2 linked regions of the Caenorhabditis elegans genome follow. The protein of the gene in region 1 interacts with the protein of each later gene in a biochemical or structural test. Each region holds a gene or a part of one and is shown in the gene's direction. Other genes may lie near its edges.

Region 1 (3,930 bases):
TTGCCGTTTTTCCTTGAAAATATTCATTTAGTGAAATCAATCAGTGCTGTGTTGTTTTTGGTTTTATCATAGTTTGAGACTGAATTTTGATTACTGAAAGTGCTTAACATAAAACAAAATATTTTCAAAAAGATGAACAGTATTTTATTGGCTTCGTTATTAGTAATGATATCATTCTCTCTGTATTGGTCTATGGAAATGCAGGGTTTGATTCTTATAAAATAAATTCTTCAAATTTCACACTGAACATTACGGCTCATAAAATTTCAGTTATTCGTTGGGACTGCTGAATTAACAAAAATTGAGCCAATTCTAAAAGTTGCTCATAATTTTAATGTTTCGGGGGAAGTGAGTCTAACTTTATATTGTCTAAAGATTTGTCAAACATCTTGAAAATTACAAGGTCTCCGAAAAAACTTTTCAATAATTTCCGGATTTTAAATAAATTTCAAGAAATGAAGATAACTAAATATTTTTGTTCAGCAGTCTAGATGACGTGAGGACAGGAAATGAAAACATTTATACCTTTTTAAAAGTGCAAAAAGATTTATGGTCGTTGAACCTTTTAGTCTGGTTCCAGTGTTTAGCTTTCAAAAAATGTCAAATTTCAAATATGAAACCTAGGTGAGCTAAAATTCAACTATTCCGAAAACACACCAACTTTCATTCATAGACAATAAAATGAATACGAAGGATTAAGCAATCAATCAACAACCACTGTGCTCAAATCATTCTCAAAATTTTAAGTGCTCGCTAAGACACATTGGAAAAATTCAAATCCTTAGAAAAAACAAACGAAAAAGGGAAATAAAACCCATGAAAACAGAACGAGAACTAAATAATTTTGAATTCCTGTCTGAAAATGGTGTACGGTGGTAAAAAAATTTAGGTTGGCACATCATTGCCTTCCTGCTTACTACTCTAGTGCCTGCCTCGTGCCTACGAGTACCTACTGCCAAAGCACTAAAGCGCAATCAAATACGGAAAATACGAAGGTAGTCAAGCAGGTAAGCAGAGGACAGGTACCTATTCAGGATGGCGTGACTACTTATTATCAACCATGGAAATCGTTGTAATTTCTTAGTTTAGTAGGATAGATATTTCATTTTCTCTTTTCGGTTCAAGTTCTTCAGGATTTCTATATCATCATTGTGCCAATTTCCTTTATTTTTATTCCAAGTAACATTTTATTATTTAAAAGATCATCGGCATTCAAAAAAACAAAAATAAATATAGTTTTTCTCGCGGGGATGCCCCATCCATAAGTGCTCGTCGGTTTGCCGCAACTTCTCAATCAACTTATCAAGGCCAAGTTGGTTAAAGTTGGGTATGGCCAAAAATTCACTTTCAAAAACCGCCGAAATTTGACTGAACTTGGTTAAGAAATTTCTTGTACGTTGAGGTGTTGCGATGTGTTGTCGAGTGCGCGCCCGTTTCAGAGAACTCATCAATTAAATTATCTTAATTCAAATAACTAAGAAGTTACTATCACATTTTTATATTAGTTTTTTCAAATTGTGATGGTCACTTTAAAGCATTGACAGACACATTTTCCTTAGCTCTACTATAAGAGATTTTATAAAAACAAAGATTATTCTTAAATCTTAGATAAAAATTTTGAAGGTAACTGTTGTGTATGTTCCTTGACGTCAGTATAAAGATCAAATTAGGAAGTGTGCCCATCGGAAACAACAAATGATAATTAATGCTATGATATCAAACCTTTTAGCCTTTCATTCACCTCCTTCATTCAAGTAATCCCAAGTTCTTCCTGGCCTTTTTAAGCCTCGCCCCTAAAAAACTGCTCGCAGAAAGTGGGCGGGGCTATGTTGATGAAGAATAGAGTCTCCTTCTCCTACTTCTCACTTTTTGTGGACGTCGTCTTTTCCTCCGACGCCTTCTTCCATTCATCTGCCGTCATGATCTCCAAATGTTCTGTGATGGGTCTTCTTCTGTTATTGTTCGTACACATCACCACAGCACAATTCGAAACACACTTTGACGATGTAAGTTATTTGAATGATTTGGCCTAGAAGTTGAGAAGTCCTTCGGGATTTACTGTAACATTCGCAAAAAAACTTGCCGACAAACACTCAATCTTTTCTATTTTTTCTTATATTCTCGAAAAAAAAGTGCGTACATTGAAAATGAAAAAGCATTTATCAAATCCGAAACGAATCGGGCGATGATGGACGATGGCTGAACGATGTAGTCATAGGAAAGTCTAATAACTTAAAATATTTTTAGAGATCATATAAAAGTGATCAATGGAACATTGAAAGAAAAAATCACAAAAGAAACGCTAGAAAATAGATTTCTGAATGATAGCAAATTTTGCAGTATGTAAATTGAAAATATCACTAATTAAGATATTTCCTATTTCATTACAATATGAAATTCAATTGATTCAACTTATATATAATTTGACTTTTTTCAAAAAGTGGAAACATAAAAATTAAAACAAAAATGTTAAATTTAAATAAAAAATGCTCATCAAATTTAAAACCTCAAATGCAAGCTTGCACATTACGTGATTCATAACTTTTCACTTAATAGTCTCCTAGGAGATACTAGAACTCGAATAGTTAACTAAACTTTTCTTTTTGTTTTGAGAATGTCTGTAACTCTGATTCTGGAAAATAACAAGTGAATAATTTAATAAAACTGCAATTCAATTTGTCAGATTTTTACAGGCTCAGTCAATTTGTTAGGTGTATTCAAACGTTTTTTTCTCAGAAAATTGAGTACCATGAAATTTTATTTTCTAATGGCTATAAAGTAAATATGTAGTGCAAATTATGAAAATCAAACCAATCCTTGTAGTTCAATTAAATCGACATCCTAGGCATAAAGCACATATTACAAACATTATCAGTATTCTTTGTTCTTTTGTTTAAAAAGGTCTCACACTGCCGGGTTTCCCTAATTTCCTTTTTCTTCATTTCCTTATTTTATCTTAATGGTCTACATGTCTGAAAAAAACATCCTGTTAGTCATAAAACGTGATTATTTTGAAGGGTTTCTTTCAATTCGTCAGTTGAATTTCTGACCTCTTTGAAATAAAATAAATAAAATATAGGACCAGTTTGCAGAGAGAGTTTAATTAAAATTTCAATTATCAATACTATATAAGTATAATTGCATTGTAATTTGTTTATTGCATTGTTCATTGCATGTTTTCCTAAACTATCAAAACTTCAATTTTGCATTCAAGCATTGAAAACATCAAATTATGAATTATTCATGACTCTATAATAACTTAAAGTCTAACTTTTTTAATTCATACTCCCAGACACCACCTTCAATAATATTCAATAAGTTGAAAGATTTGATTTTCCATTCTCCTCCTATTTATTGTATTTGCTTCTTGATATTCTCCTGAGGGACCAAAAAATTAGATAAAGTGCTACTGACTTTTGTAGGTGCACACAAGCGGAACCGGAAATTTCCTTCAACCCGGTTTACGCTCCAATTGTGAAATGTATAAATTTCGTTTTTCTGCTTTGAAGCACTTTAGGATTTGGGGGCGGTTTGGAGCTTTTTCGGGAATGAGGGAGGTCTAGAAAAACCTTCGTCAATATAGGAAATTGAAAATTTTTGAAAAAATGCAGCAAGAATTCAATATTATGAAAAATTACATGCAATGTAATTCATTACTTGTTGATTCTTTTTATTAAAAAAACTCTAAAAATATGATTTGACAAAAACGTTTTCCTATTTACGTTTTCTTCTGAACCTTATTGCAACAAATAAGAATAAAAATGATTTCATTTTTACTTCCGGATCAGAAATTTATCAGATAACATAACTTATTTGAACATTTTCAAAGTAAAATTAACTTCGGAGGTGATGTTTTTAGCATTTCTTCTCCTTGCCAACTTTTAATAGTAAACTTTTAGCGCACGCGTAAAGTCAAAAAGTAAATCTAGT
Region 2 (3,930 bases), on another chromosome or scaffold:
AAAGAAAAAAACATATAAATTATTATTTTTTAATCAATAAAAAATATTTTTAAAAATCTTAGAATATTTAATTGCTACTTAATCGAGAAGTTCGAACGATTTCTCTTTATAAATTGGTTATAAAACTCTTTCCAGAATGGGTTGATTTTTAATATGTTTTGTTGTGAACAACTTTATTGGAAAAAAAAACTATATTCGTTTACTCGAAAAAAACATATTGAACTGGCAGAAAACTTTAAAAGTAACCCGTTTCTTCTGTGACAACTGTGCAAATATATCTATTTTTATTGATCATACAGTACCCCTCCAAAACTTCTCAAAATTATAAAACTAATCTGAAAAAGTGAATATCTGGAAAACCAATTTCACGCGTGGCCTTTCCATTCTTTTCTTTTTGCATTTCCGAACTCATATTTCTCCAGAATCCAGGTGATTTTTCTGTGACGTGACATTTGGAGGGGCTGATTTCAAAAACTAACAAGGCACAACCTCCTGGAATTTCTTGCAACTGAAAATTCATTTTTTAAGGTTTACGTGAATTTTGCAACAAAAAAAGATTTCTGGTAAATTTATGTACAAGTTAACATTTTCTTGTATTTTGAGTCGGGTATGTGTTTTAAATACTAGAAAATTTCCGTCCACCACCACCATGACCAGTGACTTCCGATAATAATTTGAGCTTCTAAAACACTTCCCATTTTCTTCCTGTTTCTGAGCACTAACCTCCTCACATCTTCCTTTTCCTTTTACTGCTCATTCTCTTTATTTTGTGTCTGAAAGTTTCCGCAACCTGCCTTATCCAATTACTATTTTCCTCTCTCTATATCCAAGCTCTATGACCAGTCGTCTTTTTTTTCTGGACGCGTTTACTCCATTTTCCACCTCTTTTGTTTCTCGGTTCAATTTTATACCCTAATGATGTGGCCATTCAAATAATTTTTTCACTGTTTCAAGTTTTCGTGATAGGCTTGGATTATAATTGAGAAGACACTGGATTATCTACCATATGTACAAGTAGATTTTTATACCATTCTCAGTAGAATTCTCATTAGATTTCAAAAATTTTAACATTAAAGGTTTTTCTTAGAGGTATCAAATATTCAAGGCGTAACACGGGGCGCCTATTGTACGCTTCGCACCCTACCGGCCACAAGGTTTTTAAGGTGCGAGGTCCCATCTTTCCAAAGCCCAGGTTGATTTATTTTCAAATCAACATTGGTGTAAGTTTATTGTTTCAGACAAATCTATGCTTCAAAAAAATTTTTATATTTTTGTATTAAATTCATCCTGAATACAATTATTCGCCGTTTCGAGAATAAAAAAAAGTACCTGATTTTACAATGTATGTTTCATCCCTTGTGTGTTCAACCAATAGGTGGTGCGTATTATTCACAGTTTCAAAAATTCAATTCAAAAAGTCGATGCGCCAATTATATATTTACATTATTTATTTGTTAGTAAAGTTTCATTTCCTTACACTCCTGAAAATCTCTCGAATTTTTCAACAACAAAAAAGTCAAAATTATTCACAGTTTCAACATTTCAACTTAAAATTTCCTTGTTTTAATCTTATATTCAACAAGCCAATTTTGTTCTTCTAACCAAGCAATCCTTCATTTTTTGTATTTCCCCTCCTATTTTATCTATCAGCTGATATAAATCTGAGTCAGGACATTGATAAAATTTGTTCTTTGTGTTTAAGCGGCTTATGCATTTGAAAAACAACAACAAGATTGTTTTAAAAAATTATTTTAAATTTGAGTTTTTTCACACTGAACATTTTTTGTATGAATAATTTTTAGGTAGCTGAACTTTTTTTCCTTCCTCTCTAATTTATCAGAGTTTTGAAAAGGCCAGAGTGAAACAGGTGAATTCAAAAACCGAGGTTTACTTCTCACCTGAAGTTTTTTGTGCGAATTCTGTGAAATGGTGACTGATTAATTCATCTTACACATTGTCTCATTCTCTCGAAAACTACAATTACTCATGCCCTTTTCTTTCCCTTCTTTTGAAAAATAATTTCTGTTTCAAATATTCTACAAGTTTCAGAATGACAACGTGTCCCCTACCACCCAGTTTAGACGAAATGGATCTGCGATTAGCTGCCGATAAAGTGAGTTTTAAGGGAAGGCTGTTAATGAAACAGCAAAGCGAGAATTAGTTTTACGAGAAAATGAAACAGTGAAAATTTGAGAAAAATATTCGAGTTTTTAAGTTAATTAGAAATTTTTAAAAAACCATATCTCAAATACCTCTAGAGTATTGTGTGGACATGTGACAATTTTCATGCCAATAGAGGAACCGATATTATTTTTTTACTAGTTGGGTACTAGTTGGTATTTTAAGGGAGGTAACTTAATTGTAAAAAAAAAAGTTTCTCAAAAACTTTTAGATTTTCTACCTTTATATCATACCTATAAGAAATCTAGACTTTTCAGTTTTAAGAAAATAATTTTGAATCCACTATAATAATCCATTTTGTTGTTCCTTCACATAGATTTTTGCTATCTTTTGTAATTCCAAAAAACTTCAAATGTACTCAATTTCCCAATTTCCGTGTTCTTTTGTGCTTACTCACCACAAATTCAAAATAAACGTTTTGTAGTAAATTTGTGAATTATCAGGAGCACCTGGAAATTATCAGGGATTAGATTCAGGATGATCAATTTATAATTATAAGTGTTTTGAAACAGAAAATATATTTTGTCAACTGTAGTTTTTATGATGGAACAGCTAATAATGAGAACTAACACATTAAATTAAAACTCTGCAACAGACGAATATAAATTGTTTTAAAATTAATATTGCCTAGGACTTCCAAGGTATACCTACCTACCTTATGCCTGTCTAGGTGCATACGTTTTGCTTTTTATGGCGAAATGTGGTGTCTTGAGCCCTCACAGCCGCATTTCAGTAAAACTGTAAAAATATTAACAATTACTTTAGTAAGCCGCCTTGAAGAATCATGAGTAAGCCGCCTTGAAGGCAGGCATTTTATATTGAGAGCAGCTTATAAGCTTCATTAGAAATCTGAACTAATCAATATTTCAGGTTCTAAACGGTTCACTGATCAACTGTACATTCCAATCGTTTTACGATCAAATGTATCAAACACACGGAGTATACTTCATATTTGAACCAACTCCGTTCGTTCATCCAATTGTTTCACAGATTTTCTATGGAATCCTGTTCACACTAACAATATTTCTGGCGTTAATGGGCAATTTTACAGTGATGTGGTAAGTGAAATAAAGTGAAAAATGACAAAGTCTGTTTCAACATGTTAATAAGTTCCACGATTACTTGTGATGACACTGGATACCTAAACTTAGGAAATATTCGCTTTTTTTGCTCAAAAAATTTTTAAAGATTTAAAATTAATTCTCAGGATAATCCTGTACCACCGTCAAATGCGAAGCGTCACAAATTACTATCTGTTCAACTTGGCAGTGGCGGATGCCTCGATTTCAGTGTTCAACACGGGATTCTCATGGTCTTATAATTATTATTATGTTTGGAAGTGAGTTGTTTTAATGTAGAAGAGAATAACGAAACGAAATTGGCTTCGTGCTAAAAGTTGAACTGAAGTTGTAGCGTTGAAACATACTTTTTTTGTTGTTGAGAAGTTTCTAAAAAAGTTGTTCTATTAAAAGTGATTAATCAATTTTTATGGTCAGTTTCTAATAGAATTTCTAATAACGTATGAAGAAAGTTTGAGAATATTTATGTGTGATTTCTCTGACATGCCACACTCCTACAGTAATCCTGCCAGTATTGTTTAATTTTGAGCATTATTTTCGGAATAATTGTGACGTGGAATTAAGGTTCATAACTTTTGAAATAAAAACGAAATTGGAACAAATGAGCTATGTAGGCTTCTCGTTGGGAGCTCATTGATTTTAGAACAAAAGGTTTTGATTTAATGCTAAC

Evidence for each region.
Region 2: the proteins of nlp-58 (region 1) and tkr-2 interact in a test that uses a peptide from one of them, tested with the Caenorhabditis elegans proteins (one large-scale study listed by BioGRID).

The regions. Positions count from the first base shown.
Region 1 is NC_003283.11:9,946,875-9,950,804, reverse strand, and holds the start of nlp-58 (Neuropeptide-Like Protein), read left to right. Parts: upstream 1-1,864; 5' UTR 1,865-1,919; coding exon 1,920-2,006; intron 2,007-3,930.
Region 2 is NC_003282.8:6,200,030-6,203,959, forward strand, and holds the start of tkr-2 (G-protein coupled receptors family 1 profile domain-containing protein), read left to right. Parts: upstream 1-2,039; 5' UTR 2,040-2,050; coding exon 2,051-2,113; intron 2,114-2,116; exon of another isoform or gene 2,117-2,137; intron 2,138-2,238; exon of another isoform or gene 2,239-2,259; intron 2,260-2,626; exon of another isoform or gene 2,627-2,647; intron 2,648-3,051; coding exon 3,052-3,239; intron 3,240-3,315; exon of another isoform or gene 3,316-3,336; intron 3,337-3,388; coding exon 3,389-3,520; intron 3,521-3,538; exon of another isoform or gene 3,539-3,559; intron 3,560-3,930.